2 linked regions of the Tamandua tetradactyla genome follow. Each later gene encodes a partner of the first gene's protein in a complex. Links are inferred from orthologs where the notes say so. Each region holds a gene or a part of one and is shown on either strand. Other genes may lie near its edges.

What was found. The genes of interacting proteins can lie anywhere in the genome.
Region 2: the proteins of SLC9A1 (region 1) and CHP2 are in contact, whole or in part, in a crystal structure (PDB 2BEC), measured with the Homo sapiens proteins. The link is inferred for Tamandua tetradactyla from reciprocal best matches to the Homo sapiens genes SLC9A1 and CHP2. Residues at the interface, in NP_003038.2 of Homo sapiens: Ser517, Ile518, Asn519, Glu520, Ile522, His523, Thr524, Gln525, Phe526, Leu527, Asp528, His529, Leu530, Leu531, Thr532, Gly533, Ile534, Glu535, Asp536, Ile537, Cys538, Gly539, His540; in NP_071380.1 of Homo sapiens: Arg30, Arg34, Leu38, Leu51, Ile54, Ala56, Leu57, Asn60, Pro61, Leu62, Ile66, Phe70, Phe83, Leu87, Phe90, Tyr118, Ala119, Leu122, Tyr123, Met136, Val139, Leu140, Met143, Ile156, Arg159, Thr160, Glu163, Ala164, Phe177, Ser180.

Annotation. Positions count from the first base shown.
Region 1 is NC_135328.1:199,116,582-199,124,089, reverse strand, and holds the start of SLC9A1 (sodium/hydrogen exchanger 1), read right to left. Parts: upstream 3,064-7,508; 5' UTR 2,218-3,063; coding exon 1,866-2,217; intron 1-1,865. UniProt on the Homo sapiens protein: Electroneutral Na(+) /H(+) antiporter that extrudes Na(+) in exchange for external protons driven by the inward sodium ion chemical gradient, protecting cells from acidification that occurs from metabolism.
Region 2 is NC_135349.1:33,319,206-33,326,952, forward strand, and holds the start of CHP2 (calcineurin B homologous protein 2), read right to left. Parts: upstream 3,080-7,747; 5' UTR 2,829-3,079; coding exon 2,762-2,828; intron 2,117-2,761; coding exon 2,044-2,116; intron 1,946-2,043; coding exon 1,865-1,945; intron 1,736-1,864; coding exon 1,605-1,735; intron 1,420-1,604; coding exon 1,358-1,419; intron 739-1,357; coding exon 616-738; intron 411-615; coding exon 357-410; 3' UTR 1-356. UniProt on the Homo sapiens protein: Functions as an integral cofactor in cell pH regulation by controlling plasma membrane-type Na(+)/H(+) exchange activity.

The DNA.
Region 1 (7,508 bases):
TGAGCAGCCAGCTTTCCAGATTTCTAGATTAATACCCTTGCCATGGCTGCATCTGTGCCATCCAGCAGCCCAGGGTCCTGGGCTCAGTACTCTGTGGTGACGAAGGCCAGGCCAATTAGAACTAAAGATACCATGAGGCTTGTAGGGATAACTACCAACAGCCCAAAATGGATCTTTGTGCTATGCTCTCATTCCGTCAGCCGGCACTGAGAGAGACCTGCATTGTGTGCCAGTCCCCAATGCCCTTAACACAATGCCAGGTGTGGGTCCAGAGGTGAGGGAGCTGGAGAGAGGAGGGCAGTTTATAGACAGCAATTGCAAGGTCTCTTCTGGTCTCACACAGGCAAATGACACATTACAGTGACTTCAGTTTTTTACAACAAGGTAAGACTCATGGTCTCAACTGGTATGGTCAAATCTAGAGAGTCCTGCCCATTTCACAGGTGGGAGAGACCAGCTGAAAAAGGCCCTAGCTTGTTTAAGGTCACAAAATTGTATCAGAATCAGTACACATGGCTCTCTTTGCCCAGTCCTTGACTCTTCCAGGAAGCACAGCTGCCACCAGTGTGTAGGTACTGGCAGCCCAGCTCCATGCCCAGCCCTGCCACTGTGACCGGCTCGGCACCAGGAAGCCAGATCCTGGATCTGTCAAGATTCAGTGAGAGTGCCAGGCACCAGTGCCCTTCTGCAGCATGTCCCAGAGCCTGACTGGCACAGCCACTCAGCTTCTGCATGTCCTTGGGAAAGGTGCCAAGAGTCATAAACACCCCAAACCCAACCTTAGGCAAAGAGGGGAGCAGAGACCCATGTCTCTGTGTCTTCCACAGTTCGCTGGGGACTGAAAAAAGCAAAGGCAACAATCAAAGCCAGCCTGGACACCACGACTAAGGATTGGGACTTCTGAGCTATGCAGGTTCTGGTCAGCTCCATCGACCACCCAGTAGGACAGGATGCTCAGGCCTAGAAGGGAAACCACCCCTATGGGAGGGAACAACTTTTCTGCTCCTTTGCCCCAAAAAGGGCATTTCAAAGTCTCTTCAGACCAGAACACCCTAGCCCTTTCACCTATACCTCTTCTACTTGGACGGACAGAAAGCCAATGTGACTGGACAGCTCAGATGGCACATAAGACACAGCCAGGTGCTAACCTGGAGGTGAGTTAGGTCCAGACCAAGCTGCAACTTCCTCCGCTCTCCCTCCATCCTCAAAATAAGCCTCAGAAATGTCTAGGGTCCCTGTCCCATAAACTGTATAAAGCATGGCATTCCTGGGCAGGAAACTGACTCAGGGACTCCTAACCAGCCTGGACAGGTAAACCTGACAGATAGCATTCTGGGGATAAAGGAATGTGAGAATCTGAGAATCTCTCATGTTCCACCCCACTTATAATCTCCAGCACCCAGGGCTCCTGCTATACAGGACAGGCCTCAGACAGGTCAAGTAGAGAGGGCTATTCTCTGTCCTGGGCCACTCTACCATGAAGCATGTAATTGCACCAGTTGCTGTCCACAAAGCAGAATGTGCCTCTTGCTGGAAGAAACTTCTGAGTCTCACACACATCTGGGTGTCTGGCTCCCAAGGGGTCTGGCCCAGCCAGGGGAAGACTTGTCAGGCCTGGAAGTCCTGCTGAAGGTACCTAATATCAGTGGGGGCCATCCTCTCATCCTGCCTGCTCTCTCCCACACAAGATGCTGATTTCCATTCTTAGCAGGCCTCAAAACCTCAGAGGCCACAAAGCTAAAGTTTGAGAAGGACCAAGATAGCAGGATGGAGGCTGCCCATGATCCAGGACCCTTATTCCTGGGCAGCCCCAAATGGTAAGCCAGTCAGGTGGTGGTGGTGGCATGAGAGCCAACTGGACTTACCTATCTTCATGAGGCAGGCCAGCAGGATCCACAGGGAGATCTCAAAGGGTATGCGCACGTGTGGGTAGTCGATACCCAGGACTGGAAAGGCCTTTCGTGTCTTCGTGCTGTGGTCAGTGACGGAATGGTTAACAGGGCGGCTCTCCGGGGTGACCTCAGGTGGGGCGGTGGTGACATCCCCGATAGAGCGCTCCCGGGGTGGCTCGGAGCCCCGGATGGTGCTGGCAGTGGGGCTGGGCTGGAGGCCATGGCTCCTGAGGACAGGTAGCAGTCCCACCAAGGCTACCACCATGAGAAACGAAGGGAAGATCCGTGGTGGAGAGGGGCCACTGATGCCACGCCACAGAGGCATCGTCCTGCTCCCTGGGCCCAGTGGGCCTCTACCTTTAGCAAAGGGAGAGTAAGACGTGGGACATGGGTAGGAAGGGGTCCGAATGCCAGAAGAGAGACTGGAAGAGTCTCTAGGAAAAGTTCATGTTCTAGAGAAGTACTTTCGTGGAAGCAGTCCTCTGGGGTGGAAAGAGGTGGGGGGGGGGGGTCGCAATAGGTGGGAACCCCAAGATTTGAGACCGAGAACTGGAACTCCAAAATGGAGAAGAGGGACAAGGACCCAGGAAGGATTGCAGGAGGAGACAAAGGTGTGGAACCTTAGGCCTGGAAAAGAGAGGGGGAGGGGAGGAGTCTGAGCCCTGGAGCCAGAGCAGGGGACTGGGGTGGCTGGACCCCAGGCAAGTGATAGGAAGAAGGAAGACTGCGACCCTTGGCTGAGGAAAGTGACTGAGGAGCTGGGACTGTGGAATAAGGAAAGGGGTAGGGAGCCCAGGCTAAAGGAAGGGGACCAGGGAGGATGGGACCCAGGCCAGGAATACGGAGAGAGGACGCTGGGAGTCCAAGCTGCCAGGAAGGAATGAAGCCGGAAAGCGGCCGGGTGCTCCCCACCCAGAGAAGGGCTGGGGTCGAGGCGCTGGGCTGAGATTCCGGGGAAATGGAGGGAGGCGGAAGGCGGAGGAAGGCAGCCCGGCAGCAGGGCGCCTCGGCGCGGGCTGGGGGCGGCTGGTGGTGGGCCGGCGACAACACGCCCCTTCTTGCGGCCCCTGGACGTCGCTGCGCTCCGCCACGGCCCGGCGGCAGGTCGTCCGCGTCCAGGTCCAGTCCTAATCCCAGCCACAACCTCAGCCCGGGTGGCAGCAGACTGATTCCGCGCTGAGCCCGGCGCCGCCTCTTATAGGCACCACCGAGCTACCGGAGCCCGCGGCTAGAGCGACCTGTCAGCGCCCGCGCAGCACAGCGGCCCCTTTCGCCGAGGGAAGGAAGTATCACGTGGGAAGAGCAAGAAGAGTCAAGAGGCAAAAAAAGTAAAGTGATTTACTATTTAAAAAGCGCTTTCACCTCCACATCCGCGGGCTCATGAAGGCTTATCAATAATCCTGTGAAAGACATATTATTATCTTAAATATTTAGTTACCATGTGACCCTGAGCAAGTTTCTGAACATGTTCCACAGCTTTCTCATCTGTAAAGTGGAGGTAGTAGTAGCACCTGTACCAGGATACCGTGATGACTAAATGAGATCAAGTATCTAGAATGGCACACCAGACCATTACTAGGAGAAAACTGAGGCACAGAGTGTTCCTTAGCTAGAATGTAGGTTGTAGAGCGAGGTTTGAATCTGTGGTGTTGATTGGCAGTACTTAATCACTAGAAAGTTTTTTTTAAGTGGTGTTGCTGGAAACCCATCTTTAGAGGTTTGGATTAAACTGCTTCAGGAGAGTGCCCAGGCATGGGTATTTTTTTCAAAGATCCTTGGGCGATTCTAATGTACAGCTTACATGTGTGAGGACAGAGAACTACTAAACTACTGAAATGCTGTCCCTGTTTTGCAGAAGAGTACATTGAGGCCAAGAAGTCAAAGTGACTAGTTCAAAGTCACGAGTGATTTCACAGGGATTTGATTCAGCTTGTCCAACATTTATTGGGTATCTTGTGATAAGCCTTGGCTGTGCTCTGCCAAAATAGAGATGAATGACATGGTTTTTGCCCTCAGTTTATACAGTGCCCAGTGTCCTAATTTTCCATTGGATCTTCTTTCCACTACTCTAGGACTTCAGAAAGTAGAAAATAAACTGCACTCTTAGGAGGTTGCTTCTACCATCTTCTGTGGTTCTGGATTTCAATCCTGGGCTTCTCCAATCTCGTAAGGCAACAGCATACAGTGGAAAGATTACTGGATTTGTTGTCAGATTAAGATAGGTTCAAATCTAGTTAACTGTTGCCTGATGAATGATCTTCAGCAAGTCATATCACCTTTTTGAGCCTATTTCTTCATCCATAAAATGGGGGTGATGACACTAACAATATCTAAGTCAAAATGGATTCTAGTGAGAACTAAAGTGTATGTGAAAGCACTCCATGAAGTCAAAGTGCTAGGCATATGTCAGTTTCCGTTATCTTCAAATATTTATTCTACTGAGCACCTTCTTTGTGTCAGGTGCTAAGTACTGGGCATACCGCCATGAACAAGACAGACAGGGTCCCTGCTTTCATGGAACTGATGCTCCACTGGAGGGAGAGAGATAATAAATTAAACAAATGGATAAGAAAAAATATTGATATGCATTAAGAAGCAAATAAATAAGATAACGCATATTTATGTACACAAAAGGCAGTGGGTATAACAATGTCCATAGCAGCAGTATTCATAATGGCCAAAACTGAAAATAACCCAAATAGCCAACAATGGCAGTAAATAAATTGAGGTGTATTCATGTGATAGAATGCTATATAGCAACAAAAATGAATGTGCTATTGCTAAACAACAACATGAATGACTTTCACAAACAAAGTTGAGTGAAAAACACTAAACATAAAATTCTAAATACTGTGTAATTGCATAAAGTACAAAATTAGGGAAACTATGATGTTGGATGTAAAGATAATGATTAGCTTTGGGGCGGAAGGAAGAAGTAGTGATTGGGAAGTGGCACAAAGGAAGGGGTAGACTGTGAGGACTTCTGATGTGCTACTAATTTTTTACAAAGGTTACATAGATGTAGTTGTTTTGTGATAACTCTTTGAACATGCAGGCCCTCGTGGGTGCACTTTTCTCTAAGTTTGCTAACCCACCACAAGCAAAAAGATATATTTAAATAATAAGAGTAATGTGACCATGACTGAGGGTGACAACACTGAAGCAAGTTCTCTGTACTTCACATTCTCCTGGCATAGGCTCAGCTATCACGGAGATGATGGAAGAGCCTAGAAGGGCCTTCAGGGAAGACGAGGGTCCCTGTGTCACCTGGGAACAGATGAAAAGAGAACATCAGCTGTAATGGAAGTAATCAAAGAGAGGAATGGCATCTAAGCAAGGACCAGAATAGCGACAATAATGCCTTGCAATTGTTAAGCCTTTCATAGTTCACAAACAAGTCCCCCAGGTATAGCAATGATCCAAGCCCTGGTGCATAGTGAGAGCTCAATAAATACTAGCAGTTATTCTCATTCTCATTTTACAGATGAAAAAACCACAGCTCAGAGACGTGAAGCAGTTTGCCCAAGGTCACATAGCCCAAGGCAGCAAGTCCAGGACTTAAGTCAGGGTTCTGACATCTGAGTCCGGTGCTCTTTCAAAACACCAACAAGCTCAGCATAGAAGAAGGAACACAGGGAAAAGGTGTGGCCAGGATACAGATTTTCCACAGGTACGATGGGGCAGAATTCCAAGACCCACAGTCCTTTCTAGTCTCGAGGGCAGCATTCACTGGTACGTACTGATCCCTCCTACTCTCTAACTCCTCTGAAACTCCTCAGTGAGTCTTTTTGTGCCAGCCTGGAGGTAACGGATCCCATGAGAACCAGGAAATGCCTCCACAGCCTGGAGTTTATGACAACCTGACAACACCAGGAAAGAGCCCTAAGGAGAAGCCACTTGGAGCCACCTTTGGCCAAGGCCCAGCCCAGGCGAGATCATGTAGCATAACAGTTGAACATTCAGGGGCTGGGAGCCAAACTGTATAGGTTCAAATCCCATTACCACCGCTTACTAGTTAAGACCTCAGACGAATCAGTCAACCTCCCTGACCCTTGGATTATTCCTCCATAATGTGTGGGCAGCAATCGTGCCAGCCTCATGGGGCTGTGAGGACGATATTTGCTAATATACGTAAAGCACTTAGAGCCGTGCCCAGCAAGCACCGCACACACTCACATCATCACTACTCACATGCAGCAAGGGCCGCAAATGTAAACCTTGGCGTTAGGGCCACATGAAGTCACACATTCAGTCACAGCAACATGCTGACAGGCTAGAAAGAAGAGCCTCTTGTCTGTGAGACTGGTCCTCCCATCAGACCGCACCACCTGAGATATGCTATGAATTTAAAATGTTTAAATAAATTATGTTGCTGAGAATTTGTGTGTGTTAAAAGCATAAGCTTGTTAAAGGTAATCCGTTAAAATAAACTGCAATATTTGTCACCCTCTTGTAGCAGGTCCTCATTCTTTTTTTAACCATTCCAGGCCCGCACTGCTCTTGACTGGGAGAGGCCACGTCTCTGCAGACTCTCCCTCTGCAGATCTTGGGCCACTCGGGGTGCCTGGGCCCTGCTGGCCTCTCCAGGTGCTTAGCCATGTCTGTCCTCCTGCACCCTTTGATGAATCCCTTGACTAAAAGTCCTGGGCATTTTAGGGACTTGCTATAGCTATGAGGTGTACAGATGCGTGGCAGGGAAGGCATGATGAAGAAAGGATCGCTTGGCCACTTCTTAGGTAAGTCACATCTTGTTCCTGTTCCTCAGATTGTTCATGGGTATGGAAGGTGCCATAATACCCACCTCGTGAGGCTGTTAGTAAATGACCGGTATATGTCAGGCACGGTTGCCGACACGTTGTTGGCACTCAGTAACTGAATTTGTTTCCTTCTTTCCTTTGTTAGAGTAACACAGCCCAACAAGGACATTCTCCCCTTCCATCACTCCACTCCATCCACACTGACTCCTTGTTATTTTGCACTGCCAGGCACGCTGCTGCTTCAGGCCCTTAACACCTGCTGTTCCCACTACCTGGAACACTTCCCCAGATGGGCACCCGGCTCATTCCCTTACATCCTTCAAGCCTTTCCACACATCTCTCTCTCTCTTTTTTTTTTTTTAACATGGGCAGGCACTGGGAATCGAACCCGGGTCCTCTGGCATGGCAGGTGAGCATTCTTGCCTGCTGAGACACCGTGGCCCACCCTCCACACATCTCTCTTCTCAACGAGGCCTACAATGTGATAATCCTGTCTCAGAGTGGTGCTTCCCCTGCCCAGCTACCACCACGACCCCCCTCTTCCAGCCCCACTGCCCGGTCCTCTTTTATGCTTTTTCCACAGCTCTTGTCACCTCATATACTGCATAACTTACCTGTTTATTATATTTATTGTCTGCTGTTTACCCTCTAGGATGTGATTCTGGGAGGTCAAGGGGCATGTCTGTCCTGTCTGCTTTTCCAGCACCTAGAACAACACCCAATGCATAGCAGGCACTCAGTAAATATTTGTTGAAGGGATAAATAACAGGATGCATGATTTGCAGATGAGGAAGCCCAGGCACCGAGGACAGCCACTCGTCTGAGGCCACAGAGCTGGGAAGAAGAACTGGGAAGAGGA
Region 2 (7,747 bases), on another chromosome or scaffold:
GCTGGGTTGAGAGATGGAGAAACTGAGTCCTGATGACAACATTTGAACTCTTGGATCCAGCTGTACCTGAGGTCAAATACTTCCAGACTTTTTAATCACATGAGCCCATAAAATCCCTTTTTTATTTAAGCCACTTTGATGTGGGTTTTCCATCCCCTGAAACCAAAAAATTCCTGACTAATCAGAGACCTGAGATCAAATCAATCAGACTTTAGTACACACCCTTCTAGCTTTCTCTCCTTTGCCCCGAATAGAGTTCAATCTAGAAGTAATAATAGAATTTATTGGGGTCCTGTCTCCATGGGGCTGAAAAGCACATGCCGGTCATCAGGAGCTCGGCAAAGGCACAAAGAGAGTCACTTCAAGATCCGGATGCTCATCTTTTGCTCGATATTCATCTTCTCTAAGGACTGGAAGGAGAGGAGTGGTCATCAAGAGGCTTGAATCTCAATCCTCTGTTTCCAACCTCCTCCCCCAGAGTTCTACCCATCCAGAAACCCCACTATTCCCTGGGAACTCCAATCTTTCTGCCAACGTCCTTTGAACTTCATCTCCTACGTCCATTTGACTTAAGGCTCCTTATCTCATCTCCCCAGATCCTAAGGGCATTCTGACCTTGGTGAACTCCAGGAAGGACACAGCCCCATCCCCATCTTCATCAGCCTCCTGCACCGTGCGGTCAGCAATGCTCTCCAACTGCTCTTCTGTCACCTGCACTCCTACCATCAGTCGGAGAACCTAGGAGTTTGGAGAAGAGGCAGCAATAAAAAGGAGGCAGAAAGGCTACTCCCATCATCGCCAAAACCTTGCTCCCATAAACCCTCGAAAGTGATTACCAAGTTCATATCCATCCCTCATCCATCCTCCACCCCATTCACCATCTCATCTGTAACTATTTCCAATTCCATCTCCCACTTCATCACAACATCTATTTCAGAGTTTCTCAGCCTAGGCACATTCAGATTTGGGGCCAGATAACTCCTTGTTGTGAGAGGCTGTCCCTGTATATTGCAGGATGTTTAGCAGCATTCCTGACCTCTACCCACAAAATGCCAGTAACACAATATCCACTCCAATTGTGACAACCAAAATGTCTCCAGATACTGCCAAATACCGTTTAGGGGGCAAAATTACCCCAGTTGAGAACCACTAATCTGCTCCCAACCTCACACCCAACTATTCCCCACTCTATCTCCCAATAAACCCACACTAACATCACCCATCCCCACTCCTCACCCAGTACCCCAGGCATCTGCACCTCCCATCCACCCCTCTCCCACCATCTGCCCTCCACAACCATCCATTCGACCATCTCAGCCTCCACACATCACATTTCCTGCCCTTGTATTCTTCCAACCTGTAGCATCTCATGCCTAGAGATCTTTCCATCGCGATCCTGGTCATAGAGCTGAAAGGCAACTGGGAAGAGAGTGGAGGGGGGGAAAGAAGATGGATCTTCCCTGGTTCTCTCCCAGGAGAAGGTCTCCCTGAAGGAGTGGGGGAGGGCAAACTCTAGGCTCACAATGGAAATGGAAGGTTCCTGGGGCCTCTTGCTGATGTGGAAAAATCTGGGGTCTCTTGTGGGTGGTTCACCACAAACTCACAGCGAAGTTTATTCATTCTGCTGTTGAGGGGTTCAGGTGCTCTGGGGTCCCGGTTTCCTGCATCCTCATCATCCACAGGTCGAAAATGAGCCAAGACTCTGACAAAACCTGGGAAATCCACACGCTGATTCCTGGGGGTGGGATGGAGTGGAGTGGTCACCTTGGTCCTTCTCTCTTCCTCCGCTTCCTACCTCCTTCCCGACACACACGCATACACAAAGGGTTTTCCACCTTCAGCTCCCACCGCCGGCGAGGCTCACCCATCAGGGAAGAAGCTGTCTATGATGCGGTCTCCCAGGGGGTTCACGGCCAACGCCCCAATTCGCTGAAGATCCATGCGACTGCAAAGTTTAAGTTCGAAGCAGTAGATGGAGGGTCAAAGAGGGGGATGGAGTCAGGGAGTCAGCGATCAGAGGTCATCGGATCAGTTCCCCCTCACCTCAGGTAACCCTTCTTGTCCTTATCCAGGGCCCGGAATCGGTGGTAGAGACGGAGCAGACTGGCTTGCGAGACTGCGAGAGGGAAAGCAAACGGGTGACAGCGCCAAGGACGCTCCGGACGCGGCCGGACAAGAGAGCCGCGGGGCGCGCTCAAGAATTTCTCTCCCGGCAGCCCCGCGAGGTGGGCGGCGCGTAGAGGGGTTTGCTGGAGGGGGCGTTCAACCCGGAAAGCCGGGGGCGGGGGCTGGCGGGGTTGGAGGCTGCGCGCAGAAACCCAGGGCAGAGCAGGTTCGAGACCTGCGGCGGCTCGCTGCCTCCCGCCACTCCCCTCCCGGGGACTCAAGGGACCGAAGTCAGCCTCCTCCACTTGCCGTCCTGACTCTGCCTCTAGTCTGGATCCGGGCTCGAGATCCCTGGCTGCCTCGATTAATCTGATCCCTCAACCGTGAATCCCGACCCTCCTCCACCCCGACGGCGAGACGCCTGGGTTCAGGCGCCACTAGCTCCCTTGGACCTCGGGGCTCCAGCTCCCCGGGGTGCGGACCCCCAGACTTCTAGATCCGCCCATCGCTCGACACAACCCTAAATGAGGGCCCCTACACCGGGGTCCTGCCTTCAGCCCCCTCAGGCCCCCCGCTCCCCGCCGCCTGGCTTGGACCGGGTGCCCCTGCTCCAGCCCTCGCAGCCGGGACGCCTGCGCCGGGGCGCGCCACTCACAGCCGGTCTCGCGCCGAATGTTGTCCACGTCGGGAATGCTCGCGGCGTGGGAGCTACCGGAGCCCATGGCGGAGCTGGGGCCGGGAGGGTCAGGGCAGCGGGCGGGCCCCAGGAGTTCTCTCCTCCCGCAGAAGAGGCACTGCCGCCCCAGTGGCCTCGGGGCCGAAGGCCAAGGGTTTGGCGGGCAGCCAGGCTCGTGAACCCCGGCGTTCCTTGCCTCCCACCCACGACAAGGGGCGAATAGAAAACAATGCCCAGGCGGCGAGGTCAGAGGGGCGGGTGCAGACAACGGGTTATTTCAGCCCGGAGATTCTGAGGTCGGCGCCGGGGGAGGCTGGGCGAGGCTGGCGCCCCGCCTTCCCCACGCCCTCCCGGGGGCCTGCATTCTCACGCTCCCGCCCAGACACCCGGGCGTTCTCCTCCTCCCCGCCCCCGCCCCCCGGCCCCCATCCCTTCCAGCCCAGGGCTCTCCCCCGCGTCGGTGAGCTCTCTAGCTTTCCCGTTGAGGAAGTCTGGGAGGTCCCGACCTTCCTCACCCTCTCGAGACAAACACCGAGCCCTGCTGGGGGAAGGAGATGGAGGGTGGGGAGGGGAGCCGGGTGCATTTACCCCAAACCCGGATGGCCCCAGCCTGAGCTGATTTGGAGAGAGGTGGAGCGCTGAAGGACTCCCAAAAAGAGGTGAGGTGCAGGTTAAGAGCTGGGCTAAGTGTAAAGAGCCCTGGATTTGGAGACCAGCTATGCTCCTAACTCTGGACAAGCCACTTAATCTTGGTTTCCTGGTCTCTTTAGTTTGGCCCACACAGCGTTATTGTTTAATTGAGCCAATACTTGAAAATCCAGAGATTTTACTAGACCCCCATTCCTGCTTGCAGGAACATGGTTGCAGCCGGGGGGCAGCTGCCGGTTTAAATGGGGACAATCGCCCAGGGTCCCCGCAACCCCAATTCGCTCCCGTATGCACCTCGTGGCCCTCCACTGGAAGCTCCCGGCTGGAAATGACTCCGACCTCCGTCGGGTCCTGAAGCACCTTTGCGATCCACAGCCTGGGAGAGGGCACAGGGAGCGCTGTGGCCTGGCCTAAATGATGACAGCCACGAGTGCCTTAGTTCATCCTGCACTCACCCCACCAGGCGAAGGACTCCGTGTGCGTTATCACTCACATTCCTCCCACCAGGCCAGAGAGGGAGGAATTACTACGATGTCCATTTTTTGCCACCAAGGAAACAATCTCGGAGTAGTGAAGTAATTTACCCACGGCCAGGAGCCAGCCAACAGAGTCCAACTCCTGAGCGGATGGAATCGCTGCACCTTCCCACTTTCGCTTGGTGGAAGCTGCCCAGGAGGCAAGTTGTGAACTATTGTAAAGCAGGTGTTCTCCAGGGGGGCTATATAGTCCCCCGGGTGGAGTGGGGGGCAAAAAAATCACATGCTTTTTCCTGTATAAAGCACAGATGCACATACCATACATAACCAGATATAGAATATATACGGAGGTTTAAAATTTCACGGAGAGGGGCAATTAAGAAAAACAAAAGTCTAAAAAGGCTCCTGGGGGTGGGGAAGGCAGTGTTGATGAAGAAAAGACTAAAAAACTCAGTTGTAAAGGAATAAGCTCCACAGTGTCCAGGTTTCAATCTACCTTCATCTTCCCCCACCATAATCACACACATGCACAGACTTCCAAGGGGAAAAAAATGCAGGCAGTTCTTTACAAGGATTAAGTTCATGTCCCCCTGGAGAGAGAGAAGCTGGAGACACAGTGAATCCTCCAGCCTCAGGCAAAGGCTTGCATCAGATGAGCCTTGAAGATATTGATCTAAGAAGTGCTTTCTCCTCTTTCTGACACCCCCAAGGACTAAAGCATGCGGGGAAACTGGCCTCCTCCCTAATGAAGCCTGATAATCACTGCAGTCCATGGCTGTGAGTGCAGTTTGGGTTAGATTCTGAACTCAGGAGGGGATAGGAGTCCCTGGGAAGCTGCAATAATCACCTCAGGCCAGCTTGGGATTCTGATCTTGGAAAGACCTTCTCCAGCCTTGCTCTGCAAGGAGCTCTCCACGAAAGCAAATTAGGTCAGAGAAGAATAAACAGCTCTCATCTGCACACGGTACTGAAGCCCACAGAAGAGTACAGGATGGTGGAGCACTCTTTAGAACCCATTTCTGCTTCATGCACATAAGTGGGACTTAAATTGACGCCATAATATATGTGGCCACATCTTTTCAGGTTTTAAAGTAGACGATGCTTTGGAGAGAATTTCATAGTAGAATCTGTTAAACTGGATTCAGGCAGAATGTTTGTGTTTTGTTTTTAAGCTACCTAAAAATTGCCAGCCATCCTTGACAAAGCAATACTGAGAATCGGCTGGGGAAATGAACGTACAAGAATAGCCAGGAAAGCTCTGGGAAGTAAACTTAACGAGGGTGAAATTACCCTAACAGATTTTTAAATTTTATTTATTTTACAAAGCTACAACGAGCTATGTGGTGGTGGTACAGGAAGAGACAGATAAGAAATAGACAAGAAAGTCAGAAATAGACACAAGTACATATGGGAATTTGCCATGTGATAAATATGACATTTGAAATTAGTGGGGAGAAATGTAGATTATTCAATAAATGTCATTTGGGACATCTGTCTTTCAGGGAAAAGAAAAAGCTATACCCCTAACTTCTTATACCCAAAATAAATTCCAGATAGAACAAAGATTTAAATGCAAAATGAAATTATACAATGCTAGAAAAAATTTTGGTTAGATTTTGTTATAATTTTGAACTGGAGAAAGTCTTTCTAAACATGCACAGAAACCATAAAGAAAAGATGGATAAATTTGACTATGTAAAATTTTTTAAATTAAAGACTTTGTATACATACAAACGAAAAGACAAAGTCAGTAAAATATTTGAAGTCCATATAACAGGCAAGGGAGGAGTACAAAGATCTCTTAAAAATCAAAAGGACACTAAACCAATAGAAAAAGTTGGGATAAGATGTGAAATAGAAACAGTCAGTAGGCATAAAAAGATCCTCAATCTCACAAGTTTAAAATGTAAAATAAAATGGGAGACTATTTTCATTTTTCATATGGTCAAGGCTGTAAGGAGACAGGTCATGAATTTCGAGCAGAGCCCTATCTCGCAGGGCTTTAGATTATGAATTTTATTTTATCTGTGATAGAACACAATTGTAGAGTTTCAAGCTGGAGCATGAGATGATCCAATTTCTGTTTTATCAACATCACAAAAATTGCCCTAACTGCTGTGAATAACTTTTGGGGCAAGGGGGGAAACTATTGCAATTATCTAGATGAAAGATGTCGCTGGCTTGGACCAGGTTGCCAGCAGCGGTGGTGGTGAGAAGTAGTCAAATTTAGGTTCGATTTTGAAAGAAGAGTCCATAAAATTTGCTGATGTACCAGATGTAGGGTGTAAGAGAAAGACGGAAGTAAAGAATGACTCCAAAATTTTATCCTAAACAACTGGTAAATGCCATTTGCCAAGATGGTTAAAAAACAAACAAACAAAAAAAAGGAAAAGGAGCACATTTCAAGGGAAGAAATAAAAAAGGCTTTAGTTGGGCTATAAGTTATGCATCCTACTAAACATATTAAGTAGTTACCTGGATACAAGAATGCGGAATTCAAAAGAGACATTGGTGTGAGAGCCTCACATTTGGTATGTTGTACTTTTGTTTTCATTCATCTCAACATATTTTCTAATTTCTTTTGTGATTTCTTCATTGGCTCATTGGTGGTTTAAAACTGTGTTGTTGGGCGGGCAACAGTGGCTCAGTGGCAGAGTTCTCTCCTACCATGCCGGAGACCTGGATTTGGTTCCTGGTTCCTGCCCATGTAAAAAAAAATAAAAATAGAAATAAACTGTGTTGCTTAATTTCCATGTATTTGTGAAATTTCTGATTTTCCTTCCATTATTGATGTCTAGCTTCATTCCATATTTTGTATGATTTTAATCTTTTAAAATATATCACGACTTGTTCTGTTGCTTAACATATGATTTATTCTGGAGACTGTTCCATGTGCACTTGAGAAAAAAATGTAATCTGGTTTGTCAGATGTTCTATATATGTCTGTTAGGTGTGGTATATTTATAATGTGCTTCAAGTCCTCTATTTCCTTATTTATTTTCCATCTAGATGTTCTATCCAAGATTGAAAGGGGCATATTGAAGTATCCAACTATTGGTACAACTGTTTCTACCTTCAATCTGTCAATGTTTGCTTCATGTGTTTTGGGGTTCTGTTGTTTGGTGCATATATGTTTATAATTATATAATCTTGATGAATTGACAGGGCTGTACACTTGGGGGTTGTGATGGTTAATTTCATGTATCAGCTTGGCTAAGTTATGGTGTCCAGTCATTTGGCCAAACAAGCACTGGCCTGCTTGTCACTTTGATGGTATTTCATGGATTTAAATCATTAGTCAGTTGATTGCATCTATGGCTGATTACATCTACAATCAACAAAGGAGATTGCCTTCAGCAATTTTAAGGAGGACTGATTATCTCAGCAGTCAAGAAGAAGAATTTCTCTCTCTACCTCAGCCCCTGGGTTCTTCTGGGGATTTCATCACCATCTTCACCAAAGTTCCCAACTTGCAGATTCTCGTGGGGAATTTAATGTCAGTATCAAGTTCCCAACTTGTGGACTTCCCTATAGAAATTGGACTTTGGCCAATGCCCACAGTCATGTGAGCCAATTCAAATAATGAATCTCTTAATATAGATCCTGTCAGTTCTGTTTCTCTTTAGAACCCTGAATAATACAGAAGTCATCAGTGTATGGCAAGACAACATTATCTAGGATGTGAAGAGAAAAAGTGAAGAGTTTCCAGGACTAAGCACTGGGGACAATCCAATGTTGAGAAGTTGGGAAGATGAGAAAGGATTGGCAAAGGAGCCTGAGAAGTAGTGGCTGCTGAAGCTGAGGGGAAATCATGAGTATAATTTTCCAGCTAAGTAAAGAA